Linked DNA regions of Callithrix jacchus. The protein of the gene in region 1 interacts with the protein of each later gene in a pairwise test. Links are inferred from orthologs where the notes say so. Each region holds a gene or a part of one and is shown on either strand. Other genes may lie near its edges.

Region 1 (3,500 bases):
ATGAGACAGCATCTTACCCCAGTTAAAATGTCTTATATCCAAAAGACAGGCAATAGCAAATGCTGGTAAGGATGTGGTGAAAAGGGAACCCTCATACACTGTTGGAACATAAATTAGTACAACCACTATGGAGAACAGTTTGAAGGTTCCTAAAAAACTAAAAATTGAGTTACCATATGATCCAACAATCTCACTGCTGGGTATATACCCAAAAGAAAGGAAATCAGTATATCAAAGAGGTATCTGTACTCCTATGTTTGTTGTAGCACTGTTTACAATAGTTAAGATTTGGAAGCAACCTAAGTGTCCATCAACAGATGAATGGATAAAGAAAATGTGGTACCTATACACAACGGAGTACTATTCAACCATAAAAAAGAATGAGATCCAGTCACTTGCAACAACATGGATGGAACTGAAGGTCAGTATGTTGAATGAAATAAGCCCAACACACACACACACACACACACACACACACACACACGCACACACCCCAAACTTCACATGTTCTCACTTATTTGTGAAAGCTAAAAATTAAAATAATTGAACTGTTGGGGAGAGAAAGAGTATAATGATGTTTACCAGAGGAGGGGTGGGGGGGAGATGTGGGAATGGTTAATGGGTACAAAAATTAGAATGAATAAGATCTGTACTTAGCAGCACAACAGGGTGATTATAATCAACAATAATTTAATTGTACATTTTTAAAAACTAAAAGTATAATTGAATTGCTTGTAACACAAAGGATAAATGCCTGAGGTGATGGATACCCCATTTAACCTGATGTGATTATTATGCATTATATGCCTGTATCAAAATATTTCATGTACCCCATAAATATATATACTGCTATGTACCCACAAAAATTGAAAACATTTTTTAAATTAAAAAAAACTGAATTGTAGTGTTAATTGCACAACTCTATAAATTCACTGAATTGTGCACAAGCCAGGGGTGAATTTTATGATATGTAAATTATACCTCAGGAAAGCTAACTTTAAAACCACTGAATAAACCTTCATGAAAAAGAAAAAGAAATCAGCAGAGGAGGAACTAGAATACAGGTTTTCAATGTTCCTTCTACTCTATCACCTGCCTCTGAGAAAGGACGAGAATAGCAATAACCTTTTCAAAAGGTTCATAGAATCACAGAGAAAATAATCATCCCACCATGATTTGAAAATACAAAATAATTCAAAATGCCTGGTAGTACTGCTATTTTGACCTAATCCATAACACACTTGTGTTAGAAAATACCTACTTTCAACTATTAATATTTCAGAAACCCAGGAAAATTCTGTAGTGTGTAACTACAAAATTGTAATACGAATTTTCCTAAAACTCATATAAGAAAGCACTATTGTATATAATTTGTAGTACACAAGACAGTTCAGTTCTTTAAAATTAACCAAAAGTTCAATATTACTATTTGACTTACGGTGCGGCTAATGTGGCTCAGAGCATCTTCAAAAAAGCCCCAAACTTCTTCCAGGGGACAGAGCTCTACACTTGATGCCCCATCTGGCACTGAGAGGTTAATCAAGTTGTGCATACATTTGCTAAAAATCAAAAAGAGAAAACTCATCCCATAAGGAAAGAAATCATTGGCTTCATGGCTAAGATAAGTAAAATCTGGATCTCATCCCAGACTAACAGTTTCAAAACACTTCTGTTCTTCCCTTGATTTTATCTGGCTTCCAACCTCAGAAGACAGATTTTTGAAGCTGTAAAACAGGTTGACCAATCCTTTCTTTTTTCATGCCTATGGTTGTCTTTCATTCTTTTTTTTAGCTTCCTGAACGAAAAAGTTGTGGCTGTCTATTATATTTTATGAGCTGGTTCAATTTACAGGCATTTAAAGCATCTCAGTACTTCCTCAAATGGGGAAGGGAACTGGTGTTTAAAGTGGAATGATTCCACAAGAACTGTCTTTCATGTCTTAAAACAGGAAGACTGTAATGATGTTTTCCAGACAAAAAAGTCACACAACATCTATTTTTCCCTATGTCTGGACGTAGAAAACAAAAAAGTCCCCAGTAGATAATATTTTATACAGCACTTATTGGTGCTCAAAGTGCTTAAAAAATGAGGCAAACATAGAAAAATGTTAACATTTGTTAAATTTGGGTGCTATGTGCCTGTAATTCCAGCTACTTGTGAAACTGAGATTGAGGATCATTTGAGCCCAGGAGTTCAAATCCAGCCTGGGCAAAATCATGAGACTCCATCTCTAAAAATAAAACAAATAAATCTGGGTGGTGGAGACATTGGTGTTTGCTATATTAACCTCTGTACATTTGGAATATTATTTAGTAATGAAACAAAGAAAGAAAGATACTTAGCAGTTTTATTATATATACAGATTCGCACAAAGAAGCAACTTTTCCCCTTTTATTCTCATTTGGGAAACCCAAGCTCCTTGACTTTGCTGAATAATTATTGGTCTATAATACAACTCTCAGTATGGAGCTGGTCACAGGAGTGCCCTCAGATCATCCCATGTCATCTTTTAAATTGGGTCAGTTAAGAATGACTGGTTACTTATGAGACATTGACTATAGTTCTTTTGGCTATCAAAAAACTGGATTAAGTTTTGAATTATATTTACTAACCTGTATTGTGAAATATCAACTGATTCTTCCTTTTTGTAGAGCAATAAAGCCTTTTTCAAGGCTTTGATAGCAATGGAAGGGTAGTGTGCAGGTGTTTCCATTGCTATTACTAGATGAAGAAAAGGAAAAAGGTTATGAACATCATAATGTCATCCATCACAGTTTTCATCCCAGGCTACCACTTGCTTTCTCTAATAAAACTGGGCTGAAATAGATGAACAAAAAACAAACAACAATGAATTTTATAAATGATGAATCTACAGCCAGTTTTGTAAATAGCTTCTACTTTCTGGGCAGAGTAGCATGGTGGGATTACCAGGTAACATCCTTTCTTCAGCAAACATCAACAGAAAACCTACTGTTTCTATGACCTTGCACACAGTCATACAGGTGAAGCAATATGAATGAGAGTCAAGGAAGGACACACTAAGAAGGAAATAGAAAGCAGATCAGTAAAAGGGCACTAATCAAAACAGGTTTGTACTAAAATGTCCTATTTTTATCTGATACTAAAAATAGGAAACACTTGACAAGGGAGTATCAGAGGTAACTAACCCTAAGACTTTCAGATGCATTTAACAGATTTTTAGAATTGGAGTTCCATTATACAAGGAGCACTGGTAATTGTCACATTCCCATAAAGTATATATCATCTGCTCCATGGCTCTAGGAATTCTGTCTTGGCAAGACCAAGGAAAGGCAAATGTGATTCTTGTGCCCTTGGAGCTACCTAATATTTTTATTAACCACACTGACACTCCTGAAGGTGTGAGATAAAAAGGGAAGATAATGAGGCTGTTTCCTGCAGTGTATGCCCAAAAAGGCTCTAAGTTCCCAAACTCACTTAAAGTTCATCCTGAAATTTGAGAGTGGCAGTTGTGTTAAAAA
Region 2 (4,285 bases), on another chromosome or scaffold:
CTAAGAAGTCTGGCTCGGCTGTTCCCCTACCTGTTTGTGGTGTCTTTCGGGGGACCCCTTGGCAAGGCAGCTGCGGCTGAGACGGAGGTAGCCCCCCAGAACCAAGATCTCCTCGGCAGTTGGGTACCGCTTCTTCCCAGCCCCCAGGGCTGCAGCATCAGCTGTGGCTGGAGAGGCTGGGGTGGCTGGGGGAGTCGTAGGGAGCACAGACCGCCGGGGGTTGACGGTGAAGGTGTGTCCACTGCGGCGGGGGGCCCCCACCCCTGGCCCTGCTTTCACCCCATAGAACAGGCGGCTCATGAGGGGATCCCCAGGAGGTTGGGGGGCAGCTGGGGCTGGGGGTGGGGGAGATAGAGGGGCTGGTGGTGGGGGCTGGAGTTCCACTGCTTCTTCTTCCTGCTGTCTCAGGCCTCCAGTCCCAGCGTCCTCTGGTGGGAGGGGGGAGGGCACAGAGCAGCAGTTCTGCAGGGCTCTCAGAGGCCTGCCCTGAGCTCCCGCCTCCTCCTTCTCAGCCTCCCCTTCTCCAGCTTCCACACCGGGAGGCTCCAGACGCTTTTCCACTGACTCTGGAGGTTCTGGTTTCTGAGTTTGAGCCTCGTTGTCGTTGGGTGTCCATTCTCGAGCGTTCCCAGAGTTCAGGGTCCATTTCCACCCTTCTGTTGGCTTCATGCCCCTCTCACTGTCTCCCATAGGCCTCTGTTCTGCAGCCTCCACTCCTGCAGAACTGCTGCCTTGGGCCTCCTTTGTCAGGGTCTCTGACAGCTCTGTAGTCTCTTCTGGGGCCACCCCTGGAACTGGCCTCCCTTCTTTTCTCCTACATTCTTCTGAGTAGCCTTTTCTTTCTTCTCCTGACCTCAGCCTCCACTCTGTTGCCTCTGGTTGTACCAAACTCTGTTCCTGAGACTCTCTGGAGTCAGGTCTCCATTTATGGGCCTCTGTCAGGCCCAACTTCGGGTAGGCAGATTCCCCTGGGCTCAGTCTACTTTCCACCTCTTTTCTTCTGGGGCTTTGCTCTCGAGACTCTGCTAGTCTCAGACTCCGCTCTGGAGTTTCTACAGGACTCAGCCTCCATTTCCGTGCCTCTGACAGTCGGGAGCTCTTGTCTCCCGCCTCTCCTGGGCTTTGCCTCCAGTCCCGAGCCTCCAGAGGCCTCAGGCTCGACTCTTGGGCTCCCCCTATCCCCAGCCTCCTCTCTCTGGTCTCCCTGGGACTTAGTCTCTCTTCTCTTGACTCTCTTCTCTTGGGGCTCTGATCCCGCATCTCCCCAGGGCTGGGTCTCCGCTCCCGGGCCTCCAGAGATCCAGGCTTTCTCTCAGCTAGCAGCTCTTCACTCCGTTGCTGCTGCTGCTGCCGCTCCTGCCGGATGAATCGGTTCTGGTGCACTGGCCCGATGGCCTCCTGAAGGACCGCAGATTCATCTGTGTCTGCAGGTCCGGCTTCTGCAGTCCCTGGCACAGGGCTAGGCTCCCCAGGGGACAGCCCAAGCTTGGCCCGGCGGCGCTCCAGAAGCCCTCGCTTCCAGGCTGGCATCTGGGATAGGCGCTCCCGTTCTGCCTTCTCCCGGCCTCTAACGGACGCCTCCTCCTGCCGGCGCCGGGCTAACAGCTGTAGCTTCCAGTCTGGGATGGTGGTCATGGTCGCCTTGAGGTGAGGGTAGGGAGCACTGGGGGCAGAGAACAGGAAGAAGAGGCTCCAGAGAGGCCCAGGGAGTGAGACTGAGGGTGGGAGGGGAGGAAGTGGAGGGGGAGAGGTGGGACCACGAGCAGGGCAGAGGAGCTGAGGATGAGGACCAAGGGAAAGAGGGACGGCAGAGAACAGGGGAAATGGAAAAAGTGAAGAGAAGTTATGAGCCCAAGTTGGGGGTGGTGGGGGCGATGTGAGAGGAAGAGTCCAGATTGGAGGCAATGAGGACAGGAGCCAGATGTGGCAGTACAGGGTTAATGCGTATTAAAGACAGTCTCTAGGATGTGGGAAACAGAGAATGGGAGAAAAGAAAAGTTGCTATGAGGGTGAAAAGAGAAAAGGGGCAGGGATGAGGGGAACCCGGGTGCAGGCCTGGCTGCCTCAGCGATACCCCAGGGAGGTGAGTGTGGGAAGGAAGGACCGGGAATCCCTCCCGAGGAGGGCAACGGGACCTGAGGGGGTGTCGAGGAGGCAGGGAGGAGCGGAGAGCGAGCAGGTCTAGGGGAGAAGGGAAACCAGGGAAGAGGGGAAGGGAGCGCGGCGGTAGCGGCCGGGAGCGTCTCAGCGCGGGCCCCAAAGGTCCCTGCTCCGCTTCCAGTGCCGCTGGGGCCACGCCTCTCCCCAGCCCCCACCCCTCTGCCCCGCACTCCGCCCCCGAGGCGGGTCGGGGGAAATACCCACCCCGGGACTTTCGGAACCCGGGCGTCGGGGCTGCCAGCGCGTTCCCAGAACCCTGGTATCCACCCCCACCCAGTCCCGTCAATACCGCCTGCCTCCCCCGCCGTCTGCGCCCGGCGACCCCGGAGTGCCGAGGGCCGGCTCCATGCCTCTTCTCTCCAGCGCCTGCGAGTCCCATGCCCGGTCCCCGCTCTCATGGAGCCGTGACAGAGCCAGCTGTCTCCACCCCGCTCTGGCTGCACAGACTGACAATCTCGGCACAAAGAGGAGACAGCCAAGGTCCGGGCCAGGGACGGGAGCGAGGAGACACCCCCTCCCCAAGTCTAAGCCCCTCAGTCAACTCACACGCCGTGGGGCCCCCCTGGGAGGGGGTGCGGAGGAGCCGGGCGTCCAGAGAGAGGAAGAGGAGGAGAGAGGGACCGAGGGAGATCCGGAGACTGGAGGGAGGGGAGGAGGAGGGAGAGGAGGAGGGAAAGAGGCAGCAAAGGAGGAGGGACGGAGACAGAGATCAGGGGGCCGGGCGGGGGCGGCGACCGCTTTGTCTAAGGACAATGAGGAGAGGGAAGGGGGCGCAGGGCGGAGCCCGAGGGGAGGGCGGGGCTCCCTCCCACCGCGCGTGGGACTGGCTCTGGGACTGCCCCCTACTCGCCCCAACCCCTGGTCCTCTGCTCTGTGTCCCCAGGGGCCCTCAACCGCTTCCCTCCCGGTAGCCCTGAAGAACCCAGGTGTCCAGATCCCTTCCCCCAGCTCGCCGACCCAGGGCGGTGGCCCGTGACTCAGGCCCCTCGTGGGACTTTGGGAGGAAGCGGCAGCTGCTAGGAGCCGGGCCCGCCCTTCCCATCTCCTGCCTCTCAGCCCTCCCCGCGATTTTGCCTTCTCCGGCCAGTCTTTGTTTTTGCCGGGTCGAGGGCAGCCACCAGGAGGCCTTGAGGAGGGGGCGGCAGGAGAGGCGCTCAGAAGCCAGCAGTTTTGGAAGCTCGTTCTCCTACCAGAGCTGCTGTCCCCACTCTTTCTAGCTTCAACCTGCCTCCCATGAGTCTCTTGGTCAGCTGCGGGGTTGGGGAGTGGGGGAAGGGGATTTGAAGGAATGGGGACCCGGCCTCTCTGGCAAAGTGGGGGCGGGTCAGCGGGGGCGCGGTGGTCGAAGGCCAGCGGTTGCCAGAGGGCGTGGTGGCTGCCCAGACTCCACTTCGCGGGCTCGCAGGCTCCCTCTGGCTTTCCTTCCCAAACTCAGCCCTGCAGCTTGGGAGACACTGACAGACTACATGCAGTACGTAGAAAAATCAGGCTTTTATTTTCCTGCAGAGCATCCAGAACAGGAAGCCCCAAGTTAAGAACGGGAGAATCCTCTTGACTAGGTTCAGAGGCAGGGCCTAAGGAGGTGCAGACACTAGGGCCGGGAGTGCTGAGGCAAGGTGTGGGGCCTGGAGGGACAGCCACTGCCTTTGAACTTGCAGACCCTGGTCCAGCTTCTCGGAGTGGAAGCCAGAGGTGGCGAAGTGGGAGGGGGATCCCAGAGGCACAGAGAGAAGCAATGGTGCCCGCCAGCGGAATGGTCAGGGCAGATCCTTTCCTTCTAGGAGACTGTTGAAGGGGAGCATGCCATGCCCTAAACAGTGAGGAGACAGATGAATTCCATACCCTGCTCTTCCTTGCTGGTGAGATGTGGACTCTTGGAGTTCAGTGGCTGAAACTCAGAATTTAGAGTATGGAGCTGGACCCAGAGAATAAAGTAGCAAGTAGTGGAAGGGGCAACTCCTTTAGTCCATGGATTTGAGCCTCTGGCCTGAAGCAGCCAGGGCCTGGATGTTAAAGATTTAGAATTCAGGGGGAGAGAGACTGGGCGTGGTGGCTCATGCCTGTAATTCCAGCACTTTGGGAGACTAAGGCAGGCGGATCACAAGGTCAGCAGTTCAAGACCAGC
Region 3 (4,031 bases), on another chromosome or scaffold:
ACCACTGTCAAGTCTCTGCTCTTGGACCCTGGGTTTCTCATCCTTTAATGAGGAGGTGGGCTCAGAAGCTCTCCCATCTCCACAGCAACCCTGGCATTGGCTTCTCAGTGGGAGGGAAGCAACAGAGAAACTGAAGTATTAGACACTGTGTGTCCCCCCACCCCATAACAAAGATATATGACAGTGTTCAGCAGGTCATCTTTAATGCAGAGAAGGAGACAGGATCTCACTCGCTGTCTGGAGGCATGTGGGTGGTGTGCAGGCCCTCACTGGCCAGCCCCTGGGTGGCCCCGCCTGTCCCAGTATGACCGTAGCCAGCTCAGGCCCTCTACTGTATCTCCTGCAAGGAGAGACCTTGGCGTCTCAGCCCACATGGAGAAAACGGCCCCTGTCCAAGTTCCTCCAGAACTCCCTTCCCCAGGGCCATGCCTCACCTTGAGGCCGATACTCGCAGCCCACAAAACCTTTGTAGCCTTCATCTTCCAGCAGTTGAAACAGATAGGGGAAGTTCAGCTCTCCGGGGCTGCTGGGCTCCCCTCGGCCTGGGACCTGTGCCACCTGCACGTGCCCTGGGGACAGATGAGGACAGATGTAGGGTCCGGGCTCCTGCCGGGGCCTGAAGGACAGACGTGGGGATTGAAAGGGTGAAAGAGCAAAGAAAGCTCCTCTCACCGACAATGGGCAGGAACTCCCGGATGTTTCCTGTCAGGTTCCCATCCATGATCTGCCAGTGGAATATGTCCTGGGGAAGAGGATTCTACAGTCCAAGACCCTATAGGCTCTGCCTTGCTTCCAAGATTGAGAGAACATGGGCTCTCTGCAAAGTACCCCCTTTCTTCCACTTACCATTTGTAATTGGAGGTTGGGTCTTCCCACCTTCTGTAAGATGGCTGCCGCTGGAAGAGAAGCCAGGGAGTGGGCCATGAGCCTCAAGGAAAGCACAGGTATCCAAGGGACAGAAGGATCCACAGGCCTGGGGTCCTACCCTGCTGAGGCGTGTCCAGGAAGTACTGGGGGTCAGTGATGCGGGTGTTGATGGGCTCCAGCAGTCCCACAAGGTCCTCCTAGCAGCATGTCGGGTGCTGTGAATAGAGCTCCTTCCCAAGTTTGTCCCCCATCAGTCACTGGTCAAGGCCCTCACCTGTCCTTCTGACCTAGGCCGGCAGCCAGCCTTGTGCCTCACATGCTGTCCCCACTGTGCAACCGCTCCGCTCTGTGTTTCCACCTTTCTCACCTGAGCCAAAACCCCAGCTGCATGCCTCAGATTCTCTAGAAAAACGGTCTCCATCTCAGCCTTGACTGCTGCTGGGTCAGCCCCCTGGGGTACTCGGCCAGCCATCAGGTGGATCCTGTGGAGAAGATATACTGGAGGCCTTGCCTCCCTTGGCTCTCTCTACACCTCTCGCAGGATTCCCTGACTATGCTGGCCTCACCTGTCTCCCCAGGTCTCCAGTCCATGACACCTGCGTCACGACGCCCAGGCATCCGGGCACTTTCAGACACTTCAGTGACAGTTGAGGGGCAAGCCCTCTCCCAAACACCTCAGTGTCCACTCCCCCCTACCCCCCACCTCCAGTAATTTCCACCTCTCCTTCCCTCAGTCATTCTCAACATACAACCTGCTAAAGTCTCACCTTTAAAAATTATCCTGACCCTTGCCCTTCTCAAGTATGCCATGCTGCTGTTTCTACTTCCTCTCCTCACATCTACTTCTTAGCCTCTTCCCATCTGTTTTCTCCCCTACCATTCACCAGTAGTGATCCCATTGCCAGTTCCTTCTGAGCCTGTTTGGCCTCTGCAGGATTTGGCATTTGACCAGCTCCACTTTGAGCCGTCCACCTCCTGCCATCACTCGGATCTTAGCCACATTCAGCTTCAAGCCAACATTCCAGGTCTCCCCACCCCAACAGGCTACCCATCCAGCCTCAGGAACGCTGCTCAACACACCAGGCCTCCTCTTGCCAGGAATACTCTACCTCCTGCTCATCAAGCAATGCCCACTCCTTCAAGACAGTCCAAGCATCACTACCTGTAAGCAGCTTTCTCTGATCCAGACAGGGTTAGGTGCCTACCCTGCTCCCACAGCTTACTTGAATAGGCCCGTCCTCAAATGGATCACTGCATATATTTCTATCTCCCTAGGCAGACTGAGCTCCCAGCATGGGATCCCGGCATGGGGTGAGCATGAAAGAGTGGCAAACAGACTGGCACAGGACAGATAAAATATAAAAGACAGTTTACAAAGGACCAGGACCGCAGGGGCGGAGATAGGCCAGTGGGCTCAGACTTCTGAACGTCTCATACCTGGCGTCCTCGACGCCCTTAACCTGCGGCAGGGTCATGGGTCACAGAGGGGTGGGGGATGGGGGTACCTGGGACAGCCCAGGGCCTTGGCGTACCGCACAGCCTGCTCCAGACCTTCTCGGAAGGCCTCCTGTCTCCCGGGGACGGCCCCCAGCCCCATTTCCCCCTTCTCATGATCTCCTGCAGAGAGAACTGGCCTCAGCCCCCAGGTCCGGCACCCACACCCGGGTCCCTCCAGCCCTCCCGGCCTGCCACGCACCCGGAGGCGTGTTTATCAGCACCAGCCGCAGCCCCGCTTCCCGCGCCGCCCGCGCCAGCGCCTCGGGCGGCTCCGCGTAAGGCCAGGCCACCTCGGCGGCCTCGAAGCCCGAGCTGCCCGCGGCCCGCAGTCGCGGGAGGAGGCCGGGGAGCTCCGGGAATAGCCAGGACAGATTGGCAGAGAAGCGCAGCGGCGCCATGATGGGGGAGGCCGGACCGGGCAGAGTCCGCAGGCCCCGGAGGCGGCGGGCGGGGCGGGGCTCTCCTTGCTGACCCGGCGAACAAAAGCGCACTGTTCCGGGTTAGAAGAAGCGAGGTGCTGTAAAAACCCGGGTCTTCGTGGAAAGCGCCTTTAGTTAGCTAGAGAGGAAGCGCGGGGAGAGGCGGAGGGGCGGGGCGAGGGTGGCACCAGGAGGAGGTGGGGAGGCCGGGCCGTGAGCCTGAGAACCGGCTGCCCAAGGGCACGGTTACGACGATGGGACGGGCACTTTAATACTGAGTCTCTCCTCTGATTATAAAAATGCTATCTGTTCATGAAGCAGCATTTGAAAGCTGTATGACCAAACAAGCACTTTTATACCACCAGTTTTCACGACACTAGCCTGTTAGCTTGCCCGTCCAAGTTTTAAAATATGCCATTTTTTCTTTGAAAATTCTGACCATTCGGTGTATGCGGTTTTATAGGCCATTTTTCATGGAATATTATTTTGTGAACATTTCCTCGTGTTTTCCAATAGCCTTCAAAGTCAGCGCCTTCGCTGCTCATTGTCGCACACGTAAGCACCGAGTCATTATTGTATCCGTGGATGGATAACACGCGCGCACTGCAAGCGCACTTTCATGCACGTCTTAGTACCTATCTCGGACTCTTTTTCGAGTCCTTTTCTAGAGATGTCCATCACAGTGTTTGTCCGTTCACACCGTTCGTCTTTTGCAAGGGAAGCCGCCCCATTAAGCAGCTATGGGTGAACTGTCCCCTTAGCCTTAGCCTCAGCTGATTGAACCAGGGAGGTCATCTGATCTCAGGGCAGCCAATCCATAGACTGGCCAAAGACCTCTTACTTGCACCGTTTGGCGAGATAATCTAACCAATCAAGAGTACAAACAAGGAAATGCTGAGAGTCAACAGGTGGTGGTGCCGGAAGATGACTGGGCTGTAGAAAAGAAATAAGGCAGAGTCCTATGGTACAAAAAAACTAGAGCGGAAAGGAGGGGGAAAAAGCCCTGTGAATAGAGGTAGCACACTGAGAAACTCCTGTCGTCCCAGGGGTGCCCAAACCCATTGCTGCTCCCAGGTGTGTGCACTTAAGGCTGGAATCCTTAGACTTTCCTGGGTTTTGGTGTCTGTATACCCTTTTAATGTTTCCTGAGATGATATGAATGATTTACTTTCATCTTCAGTAACTCAACTGATGGGGTAGGTACTTATAGGTAGAATTACATGGTCAAAAATAGGAACATATTTAAGT

The links.
Region 2: the proteins of TEX11 (region 1) and PPP1R18 interact in binary tests that used the Homo sapiens proteins (3 or more experiments, as listed by UniProt). The two-hybrid records come from large-scale screens. The link is inferred for Callithrix jacchus from reciprocal best matches to the Homo sapiens genes TEX11 and PPP1R18.
Region 3: the proteins of TEX11 (region 1) and HYI interact in binary tests that used the Homo sapiens proteins (3 or more experiments, as listed by UniProt). The two-hybrid records come from large-scale screens. The link is inferred for Callithrix jacchus from reciprocal best matches to the Homo sapiens genes TEX11 and HYI.

What each region holds. Positions count from the first base shown.
Region 1 is NC_133524.1:67,855,618-67,859,117, forward strand, and holds part of TEX11 (testis-expressed protein 11), read right to left. Parts: intron 2,722-3,500; coding exon 2,613-2,721; intron 1,560-2,612; coding exon 1,439-1,559; intron 1-1,438. UniProt on the Homo sapiens protein: Regulator of crossing-over during meiosis. Involved in initiation and/or maintenance of chromosome synapsis and formation of crossovers.
Region 2 is NC_133505.1:35,482,941-35,487,225, forward strand, and holds the start of PPP1R18 (phostensin), read right to left. Parts: upstream 2,801-4,285; 5' UTR 2,509-2,800; coding exon 2,450-2,508; intron 1,664-2,449; coding exon 31-1,663; intron 1-30.
Region 3 is NC_133508.1:80,108,700-80,112,730, forward strand, and holds HYI (putative hydroxypyruvate isomerase), read right to left. Parts: upstream 2,801-4,031; 5' UTR 2,763-2,800; coding exon 2,564-2,762; intron 2,485-2,563; coding exon 2,373-2,484; exon of another isoform or gene 2,223-2,372; coding exon of another isoform or gene 1,911-2,222; intron 1,350-1,910; coding exon 1,235-1,349; intron 1,065-1,234; coding exon 986-1,064; intron 897-985; coding exon 847-896; intron 758-846; coding exon 673-757; intron 570-672; coding exon 435-569; intron 341-434; coding exon 267-340; 3' UTR 187-266; downstream 1-186. Other genes in the region: KICSTOR complex protein SZT2, read left to right, coding at 1,911-2,222. UniProt on the Homo sapiens protein: Catalyzes the reversible isomerization between hydroxypyruvate and 2-hydroxy-3-oxopropanoate (also termed tartronate semialdehyde).